Linked DNA regions of Macaca fascicularis. The protein of the gene in region 3 interacts with the protein of the main gene of each other region in a biochemical or structural test. Links are inferred from orthologs where the notes say so. Each region holds a gene or a part of one and is shown on either strand. Other genes may lie near its edges.

Region 1 (3,715 bases), on a different chromosome or scaffold from region 3:
CTCTGTGTGTCTCAAATGCCCCCGACAAGGGAAATGGCCTGGAGATACTGGTGGGAGAACAAAATGGCAAGGAAGCAACCCCACCAACACCTCCTCATCCTTCTCAGTCCAGACTGGGTGGGCTGCTTGCTGAGGTGTCAGGGTGCTCGTGGGTGGAGAGGTGTGGGTGACCTGACGAAGAAGAACCGGTACCTTTGTCTTTACGACTACAGCCCCGCACTCAGAGGTGTACTATGGCGGTTCTGAGAAGGCTTCACAGAAGTGAATCTTCCGGAAGGAGCTGAAGGAGGGGAGGGATGTAGCTTGCTGGATGGGGGTTCACAAGAGGTTGGTCCAGATGTGTGGGGCAGCATGAGAGGTGGCAGATGGAAGAGAGAGACAAAGGGGCAAATGCAAAGTGTCCTCAGCCACAGGGGTACCCCATTTTCCTACCTGGACAGGTGCCAGCCCCAAACTCCACAAGCCCCACAGTCAGCGTGGGTCTACCCCCAGACTCACCATCCAGAGGGACGCCGTTGTACTGCTTCATGGCCTTCAGGGCATCTGCCTTCCGCTCAAAGTGCACGTCTGCTGTTCCTAAGCTGCGGCCAGAGCGATCATAGTGCACAGCCGCCTTCTTCAGCGTTCCAAATTCAGCAAAGAGTTCCTGGGAGTTGCAAAGAACAGTTGTCAGAAAAGCAACAAAACTGGGTTCCTTCTGGTGGCCCAGGGACAGGCCCTGGAAGCGTGAGTTGCTTTGGGGGTGGTTCCCTGGGAGGCAGGACAGTGGTAACGGGAAATGAGGGAAGGGTGGGGCAGAAGGGACAGCAACTTCCAAGAGCACCTGGGTCTGAGGGCTCCTGCCATTGTGGGGACCTGACACGTGTACCATGATGCAGATAGAGGAAGTCGCAAAGCCCACTAGCAAAGGGCACAAAATTAAGCCACTATCCTCCTCAACGAAGGAAAATTTACAACACACCCAAGGGCTGTTCCAAGAAACGGTAAAGGCCAAGATCAAGAGCAAGAGCAAGGGAAGCAGTCCGATATCAGACCAGCTTGAAGGGCCTGTAGATTCGGGAGCCCTGACCCCAGCCCCTCCCCCAGAGGCAGATTCTGGCTCACCTTTCCCTCTCCTCCTACTCAAGCCTGCCGCAAAGTCTGAAGTCAAGCGCTGCCATGGAAACTGCCCTGACCTCAGGCAGGCTGGGAGTTGGAGAGGGAACCCAGAGTGTGGGGATACTCCGGCCGCAGGCACACAGCGGGAACTGGAGTTCACCAAAAGCGGTTTCCAGTGGATGCTAGAAACCACCTTAAAAAAAGTGTTGAGACACTGTGAGTGCTCACTGGCCCTACTCTGTCCTCCCAAGGCAAATGGCTGGGCTGTGGGCAACTGAACCCTGCCCAGCCATCTCCAAAACTGACTCCCAAAAAATCATTTCTTAACCAGAAAACAAGTTTAAATGCCATTGGGATTCAATTTTTCTTTTTTAAAAAAAGAAAAGCTTCAACCAAAGATGGGCTTGAGAATCATGTCACTGAAGGGACACGGGGGTGGGGAGTGATAAAACCGCAGCGTACAACGTCTTTATAAGACAATACTCAAGGCAGACAGAGCCAGAAAATCACACAGGCTTCCTGTGCTTCATAAGGTACATAAAAAAGATTATTTTTCTCACATTAACCCACTAAAAGGGGCACAACATTTAAAGAGCAACTGGGCTGGGTTAAACAGCCAACAACCACTCACATTTGATCAGTTTTGGTCCCTGTTAGAAACTGGAAGCCCTGGCTGGGGATGTTCACTCACAGAACCCATCTTCACACTATCAGCAGCAGTTCCTCAGGCTCGGCTAGGCTCGCACCTGCCTGCGGACTGAGCCCGGCTTTACTAGAGCTAGGTCTGTCCTGCAGCCCTTGAGAGCTGGGAGCGCTCCCTTCGCTAAGGCGGGAAGGGGACTCAGGGCCCCCTCCCCCAAATCACGATCGGTCCTGTGCAGGGCGAACGGCTCACCGAGAAGCCCTCGTCTCTTACCTGAATATCGGCGTCTGAAACTCCAAAATCCAGATTGGACACCAGCAGTTTCCCACCCGTCTCCACGCCGGCACCACCCCCGAAGCCACTGTCGAAAAGATCGTGCTGCCACTTGTCGGGAAGTTGTTTTGGCTGAAGAAAAAAAACCGCAACAACAGCAGATCCGTGAGTCTCAGTCCAGGCCTTTCCTGGCCCTCACGGCTACTCCGGACCCTTCCTCTTCCCGGCCTGAGAGGATCCGGCCGAGACGGGGCCGCCGGCGCTCCCTCCGGCGCAGCAGCTGCCCCAGCCCGAGGCGGCACGGTCCCACCGCGGCCGCACAACTTCAGTTCCCTTCGACTAACTTCCCGCCGCCGGTGCCGCGCCCAGCGTCCCCTCCTCTCCTGCCGCCACGAGGCCCCGGCGGCCGGAACAAACAAAGAGCCGGGAAGGGTCTCAGCCTCCGAGACCGGGCCCCGAAAGAACGACCTCGCTCCCGCCCACCACCCCCTCCGCGCCCACACGCACCCTCCGGACCTCCGGGCGGCCGCTCCACCGGCCCTATCTGTCCGCCGGCCCGGGTCTCCACCGCGAGACGCCCCGGCCCCGGCTGGTCCCCTCCCGCTCTCCGGCGCGGCCGGCCTCCGCACTCACCCTGCTGTAGGGCGCCGGTCGGTTCCTGCCGCCTCCGCCGGCCGCGCCGCGGGCGATGGCCGGCCGGTTCCGGATGGGCCCGCCGCCTCGACTCACTCGCGCGGCGGCCTGCGCCCCACCGCCGCGACCGCCCTGGGAGCCGGCCCGGCCGCGGCCCCGGCCCCCGCCGCGGCCGCCTCGTTGGCTCCGGTTCAGTTTAATGATGTCGTCCAGAGACATGTCCATTTTGTCGGCCATGGCGGGCGCGGAATCGGGCATCGGCTCGAGCCCGCGCGTCAGCACGCCGGCGCGTCACTTCCGGCGCCTCGTGAGGCCTTCCGGTGCCACGGCCTCGGAGCGACTGCTGATTGGCCGCCGGCGGACGGCTGCGCGCGCGGGACGGGGTGAGGCGGGAAGGCGCGTGCGCACTGGCTCGCGGGACTCGGCGGGCGCTGCTGAGGGAGCCGGGCCGCGACTGAGGTCGTTTTTATACCTTCCCGCGCGGACGCCGGCGCTGCCAACGGAAGGGCGGGCAGGGCGGCGCGTGATTAGGTTGGCGAAGGTGCGAGGGCGCAGGGGGTGGGGCGGCAGCCGTTGGGGGCGGAGCCTGCGCGCCCCTCCCTCCCCGCACGCCCCACCCGATCGCCCTGGGCTGGGGGCGCTGGGGGCCCTGCGGGCGCGGCGGGTGCCCGGCAGCCGCTGGGAGTCCTTGTTTCCGCTCCCGCCCGGGACTGTGCGCTCGGCTCGCGGCGGGGTCCAGCGGAGGACTCGGCGGGCGACAGCCGCCGCAGAAGAGCTGCGGGTTGGTTGTTTGGTCCCCACCTGCAGACCCCCGAGTCTGCACTCTCACAATTTGCTAGTCATATCCTTTACAAGTTTTCGTGCGCGGTCACGCCTGCAATCCCAGCGCTTTGCGAGGCCGAGGCAAGAGGTTCGCTTCAGCCCAGCAGTTTGAGACCAGCTGGGGCAACACAGTGAGACCCCATCTCTTAAAAAAAAAATTAGTTGAGGCCGAGACGGGCGGATCACGAGGTCAGGAGATCGAGACCATCCTGGCTAACACGGTGAAACCCCGTCTCTACTAAAAAA
Region 2 (2,500 bases), on a different chromosome or scaffold from region 3:
GAAACAAACAAAAAAACCCCCACAAAACCTGCAAACTTAAAAAAATTATAAATGCATAGTGAAAACCAAGAGGGATGACACAGCAGTGATGACACTTTCGTGCTGACATGCATTAGACACCTGTCATAATGGAAAATAAAAATTACATGACATTTCCCTGGGTTATTATTGGTGCTATTTCAAAACTTCCAGCTTTGATAACAGAAAGAAAACAGTTGGGTTCTGCCAGGCTTCAAGTTAAGTCACTTTCACAGAACAGAAACATGACCATGATCCAGAAGGTCCAAAAGTCTCTAATCATAATTAAATATCAAGGGCCTTAGCTGAAGTCTTCAGCATTTAAATCAAGGGAGAAAAATATACTTACTCATGACCTGACAAATTAGGGGTGGGACAGAGGGGATAGATTTAAAAAAAAAACAAAATCCATTACTGTTAAGCAGCAAAAGTCCTTGTTGAGAACCAGAGGTTGATGTCATTATCACCTTTGAAAAAAAAAAACTGTGAGGGTAAGTTAAATGATCCTGTATTAATTCCAGGTGTCTGGGAAAATAAAACAATAAAAAAAGATTTTCCTACACTGACATTTCAATTCCGTAGCTGGACAGCAGTGAGAATACTAAACATAAAATTTCCAAAATGTTCAAAACATTTCCAATAGTAATGTCACTACTGTTTAAATATGAAAATAAAAAGACAAGCAAAATTTTAAGAGAGCATGTCAAAGGCATTTTATGATGACTTTTTAAGAAAGTCTGCAATCCAAATATGGCTGCTTTAAATGCCCACTGAAATAAAAGATGACTACGAGCCTGCAGACAACTCTTCTTTCTATTATTGAAACCAGAAATTTGAATGGATACAAAATCAAAAACTCATCTTTGATGAAGAACAGTTTTGAAAGATGCACAATTAGAACTGTACCTGCTACACCTCTCTGAAAAAGTCAGTAAAAACATCACCACACACCAATAACTGACCAAAGAATTCTGATTTTAAAAGCACCTACTCACTTCTTGCATACTAGTGTAAGCATAAGACATATATGGTTTGTAACACAGTCCTTAATTTTTACTGAACAGTTACTGCTACAAACCAAAAGTGCATACACGGGATACAGAACTCTAGAACAAATGATTTTAAAAATGCATGTTAAAGCAAACTCTCTGGGAATAAACTGTATCTTAAGAAATATTCAAATACCTGATTAAAATAATTACATTGCTAAACAATTTACCAGCATACCTTTGAGATCCCTGATCAAATTTCAGTCACACACATTTCTGGTAAAAGAATTATCTACCTACACACCAATCAAGTCATTTTTTAGGTGGCTATTACTCTCTTTGTATGGTCAGTGGACTCCTTTCTCCAAATTCTGACTTTTCAAAGTTTTGGTTTTGTAACTCAGAGGATTTTTTAGGCTCAAGATTAAAAAAAAAAAAAAAACTGAATAGAGGAAAAAAATTACTCGTAAGGGTGGGAACTCCTAATTAAAGCAAATCTGTCTGCCTGCTACCTTTAGGGCATCCCTTTCACTTAAAATAATAGCTAAACAAACAAAAAAATAGCTAAACTGTCCTGATTTCTATTTTAAAGACGTTTATAAAAATATAAAAAAGAAAATGCTACAACTAACAACTAAAAAGAAAATTGCATCTGATGCTGTATCCCATTACACATCACAAAACAGGAACCATGTCAAAGTAGTAAATACAAGTTACACATGGACTTTAGGACGCACCACGGACAATGATCATGACCAGGTAATCTTCTTCAGATTTGGCCAGTGCCTTGGCAGGGGAATCCAGGAACTGCTGGGAGAACTCACAAGGTGGGAAGGCATGAAGGACCCCGGTGTTTTCCTTGTCTTTGTTGCCCCCCACAGGGAGGCTGATCACCCCGGCTGCCTGCTTTTGCTTTAAATAGGACACAAGGTTCCTAAGTGGCCTCTGAGTAGAAGTGGCAGTGTCTGATGCAGCTGAGGAAGAGGAGGACCGGCTGTCAGAACTTCCAGGCACAGCCAGAAGAATGGCATAACCATTGGGCCCTGCTACTTTGATGCGTCGAGTTACTTCATCCAACTTGGGCTGGTCCAAACGGAGACGCTGAGTGATCTTGAGCTGGGCCACTTTGCCTCCAGTTGAACCCTCCACAAGAAGACTACTAGCCACTTGGAGGTCACCCTGCAACAGATGCATGTTGGAAGGAAAGTTGCTGTTCTTCAGTAGAAGCATGCCCTGCCAGGCCAAACAGAGTTTGGGAGAGGCTGCTGCCGCAGGGGCTGTCCCCCCATCCTGTTTCTGGGACGGGGACTTCAGCTTGCAGGAAGCAGTGCTGGTGCTAGGTGCACTCCCATCAGAGCGGTCTTCTTTTTTCAGAGGGCTTTTTCCCTCAGTGGGAGCAGTTGTCCGGTGCTTCCTATCTCGTTCAGCTGATGCAGAGTTTTTACGGTCTCGCTTGTCACCCTGGCTCTTCTCCAAACTACCTCGTCTGTCTC
Region 3 (3,650 bases):
TGGGAGGATAAGGCAGGCAGATCATGAGGTCAGGAGTTGGAGACTAGCCTGGCCAACACAGTGAAACCCCGTCTCTATGAAAAATACAAAAATTAGCCAGGTGTGGTGGCACACGCCTGTAGTCCCATCTACTGGGGAGGCTGAGGCAGGAGAATCACTTGAACCCTGGGAGGCAGAGGTTGCAGTGAGCCAAGATCACATCATTGCACTCCAGCCTGGGTGACAGAGTGAGACACTGTCCAAAAAACAAACAAACAAAAAAAAAACCCAAAAGAGTGAGGCTGAGGTGTGCCTGGGTCTGCCCACCTTTCCCTGCCAACCCCGGGGTGGGGAGAGGGGGCCCTGGGATACTTACTGTTGTAGGAAGTGCAGGACCAGACTCTTCAAGTTTTCTGTTCCAAAATAGCTTCCCTGAAATCAAACAAGATATTAGGAACATGGAAGCAGTATTCTCTCCACACATAAGTTCTTACTCAGTCCATGCTTCCTACCTTGCAGGGCGGTAACGTCGTGGGGGCTTCAACATCAAAGGCAATTGGCGGGGGTAGCTCATGGCCATCCTGTGGAAAGGAAATAAAAGTTGACAGTGTAGACTGAGCACAGTGGCTCACACCTGTGATCCCAGAACTTTGGGAGGCCGAGGCAGGCAGATGGCTTGAGCCCAGGAGTTTTAGACCAGCCTGGACAACATGGCAAAACCCATCTCTACCAAAAAAAAATACAAAAATCAGCTGGGCGTGGTGGTGTGTGCCTGTAGTCCCAGCTATTTGGGAGGCTGAAGTGGGAGGATCACTTGAACCTGGCAGGCGAAGGTTGCAGTAAGCTACGATTGTGCCACTGCACTCCAGCCTGGATGACAGAGCGAGACCCTGTCTCAAAAACAAAACAAAAGTTGACAGTTTAAACCAGAGAGAAAAAGGCTGGATGCATAAGTAGACTAAAGAACTAACAGAGAAGGATCAGAAGTCACGTATAAAAGCATCATGAAAAGTATCCAGGAATCCAGGCTGGGCACAGTGGCTCATGCCTGTAATCCCAGCACACTGGGAGGCCAAGGTGGATGGATTAGTTGAGGTCAGGAGTTCAAGACCATCCTGGCCAACATGGTGAAACCCCCGTCTCTACTAAAAATACACAAAGAAATTAGCTGGGCGTTGTGGCACATGCATGTAATCCCAGCTACTTGGGAGGCTGAGGCAGGAAAATCGCTTGAACCCAGGAGGCGGAGGTTGCAGTGAGTCTAGATTGCACCGCACTCTGGATAACAGAGCAAGACTCCATAAACGGCCTGGCAAGGTGGCTCACGCCTATAATCCCAGCACTTTGGGAGGCCAAGGTGGATGGATCACCTGAGGTGAGGAGTTTGAGGCCAGCCTGGCCAACATGGTGAAACCCTGTCTCTACTAAAAATACAAAAATTAGCCAGGCGTGGTAGCACATGCCTGTAATCCCAGCTACTCGGGCTCAGTAAACTGTGGCAGGAGAATCGCTTGAACCTGGGAGGCGGAGGTTGCGGTGAGCTGAGATCACGCCGTTGCACTCCAACCTGGGCGATAAGAGTGAAACTCCGCCTCAAAAAAAAAAAAATAATAAAAAGAAAAAGAAAACTATCCAGGAATCCTTGTGAGTGGGAGACACTGTGCTTGTTAGAATGAAAAAATTATGGACTTACCAGGCGTAATAACTTGGGAAATCGTTCGCGAATGGCGCTGTCAAGAACGGGACAGAAGTAAGTGATGCTTCAGAGCCACCGTGCCTCCTGGGCTGCTCTAGGAGCAAATATACCAAACCCGAGGGACAGCCCATCCCATCCTGCTCATCCCTCCACTCCCTCCCAGCCTGTGCTCAGGGAAAAATGGCCCCACTCCCCACCTGACCCGGGGCACCCAGACATGGACTGCCTTGAAGGCTGTCTCTTTTCTCTCTGCCTGACCCTGAGTGTCAAGGAGCAGTACTCCAAACCTAGGCTTTAAGCCCAGGACCTCTTTCCCCTCCCTGCCCCCCTTACCTTCCACCTACTCACCTGTGCAGCCCCGGGAGGAGGGAATGGGGTGGGAGCCCAGGGGCTCCGCTGCCTCACCAGGTATCCATCAGTTCTGCCAGGTCTGGCCTTGGCCAAGACCCAAACACACCACAGGGATGGCACAGGATGTTGGGGCAGGGAGATGAGCAGGTGGGGCTCAGGAAGAGGAGAAGCCAAGGAGTAAGAAAGGAGAGGAAAAGGAGGAAAAAGAGAAGAAGGCAAGATGGGGCAGGGGCAAGGCAGAGATGGGGAGGTATAGGAAACACAGAAGAAAAAGAAAGAGAAAGCAAAGAAAAAGGGAAAAGAACTACAAGGCAAAAAAGCATCTAGAAAAATGAGGGAGAAAAGGGAGAAACTGACACAGCCCTTTCTTTCAGCTGCCCCATCCCTGTGGTCCAAGGTAGAAATGAGAAACAAATCCTTGCTGTGGTGAGTGGGCACTTGCTGTTGGCCAGGTCTCTGTCTGCTACCTGGGTCCCGATCTGAGCTGGGCGTGGGGAGCAAAGCAGCCATGGGGGCAGGAGACCTCCCTCAGAAGGTGTGAGGGTTCAGGCCCTTGCAGGATTGTGGGGGTGAGGGTCCGTGCCCCACCTCTGTTGCCCCCAAGTTATCTCCTGATGGCCCCTCTGCGACTGTGCCTGTCTTAGGTTGTTCCTTCCCTGAGGAATCTTACCCGTCTCTGGCTAACCAGCCATCCACCGGGGCCAAACAGGGTGACGTGCAGTGTGTGAGTGAGGGAGAGGCAGCGCCCCCGAGGGGCTCAGTTCTCTGTCTCCTTGGTAGCCTATGCCCCCGTGGCCTCCACGCCCAGCACCTGCCTTGGGATTCCCTCGCCTGCTGGCGGGGCCCCAGCTCTGATCACGTCTTGGGGAACCCAGGTTTCTTCTTCAGGGAGATAGACAGATTGCATGCCACCAGCCCCTAGGAGGCCTCAACCTCAGCATGGGCAGGAATGCCCAGGCAACAACCCTGGGCAAGTGGATCCTGAGAAAAGGGTCCCTCTTCGCGCAAGGGCAAGAGGGACCATCACAGTACAAAGGACGGAAGGCCCATCTCAGTAAGGAAGTCCCAGGCAGGGAGGGCTTCCTCCGCCCACGGACATCAGGCTCTTGGTATAAGGCCACTCCATCTATAGGGTATGTACAAATACCCTCTGGTCAGAGTAGAAAGGAGAGATGCCTTTCCTGGAACAACAGGGTAGGGAGATTCTAGAAAAGGTTGTGTTCAGGAAGAAAGAGAAAGGCCACAGACCCAGCAAACAGATAGTCAGGTCAGAAGAGAAGAGAAAGGATCTCAGGACAAAGCTGGAAGACATAGACAGACCAAAGTGGGGAGCACGTGATCCTCCCAAAGGACAGGTGGTTCCAGCTCAGGGCTGCACATCTCCGCAGACGGGCCCTGGTCAGGATGCATTAGCTCAGCCTCCCAGGGGGTGAAGGTCCCCAGGAGGGGAGACACAGGCTACAACTGACCTGATGTAGGTGGACTGGTCTCGGAAGGTGTCACACAAGGAGTTTCCGTCGAGCCAGAGCTCTTCTAGTTTCAGCCCCTTTATCTTGTCCAACTCCCGCTCAGACTTCAACTGCAAAAGGTGGAAGGAAAAAGGGAGGAGACCCTGGTGAAGACA

What was found.
Region 1: the proteins of NXF1 (region 3) and ALYREF form a complex in vitro, tested with the Homo sapiens proteins (2 studies listed by BioGRID and IntAct). The link is inferred for Macaca fascicularis from reciprocal best matches to the Homo sapiens genes NXF1 and ALYREF.
Region 2: the proteins of NXF1 (region 3) and RBM15 form a complex in vitro, tested with the Homo sapiens proteins (2 studies listed by BioGRID). The link is inferred for Macaca fascicularis from reciprocal best matches to the Homo sapiens genes NXF1 and RBM15.

Annotation. Positions count from the first base shown.
Region 1 is NC_088390.1:88,268,712-88,272,426, forward strand, and holds the start of ALYREF (THO complex subunit 4), read right to left. Parts: upstream 2,912-3,715; 5' UTR 2,906-2,911; coding exon 2,648-2,905; intron 2,147-2,647; coding exon 2,015-2,146; intron 647-2,014; coding exon 499-646; intron 307-498; exon of another isoform or gene 193-306; intron 1-192. UniProt on the Homo sapiens protein: Functions as an mRNA export adapter; component of the transcription/export (TREX) complex which is thought to couple mRNA transcription, processing and nuclear export, and specifically associates with spliced mRNA and not with unspliced pre-mRNA.
Region 2 is NC_088375.1:123,967,103-123,969,602, forward strand, and holds part of RBM15 (RNA-binding protein 15), read right to left. Parts: coding exon 1,745-2,500; intron 1-1,744. UniProt on the Homo sapiens protein: RNA-binding protein that acts as a key regulator of N6-methyladenosine (m6A) methylation of RNAs, thereby regulating different processes, such as hematopoietic cell homeostasis, alternative splicing of mRNAs and X chromosome inactivation mediated by Xist RNA.
Region 3 is NC_088388.1:11,252,282-11,255,931, reverse strand, and holds part of NXF1 (nuclear RNA export factor 1), read right to left. Parts: intron 3,606-3,650; coding exon 3,496-3,605; intron 1,710-3,495; coding exon 1,673-1,709; intron 561-1,672; coding exon 492-560; intron 412-491; coding exon 356-411; intron 1-355.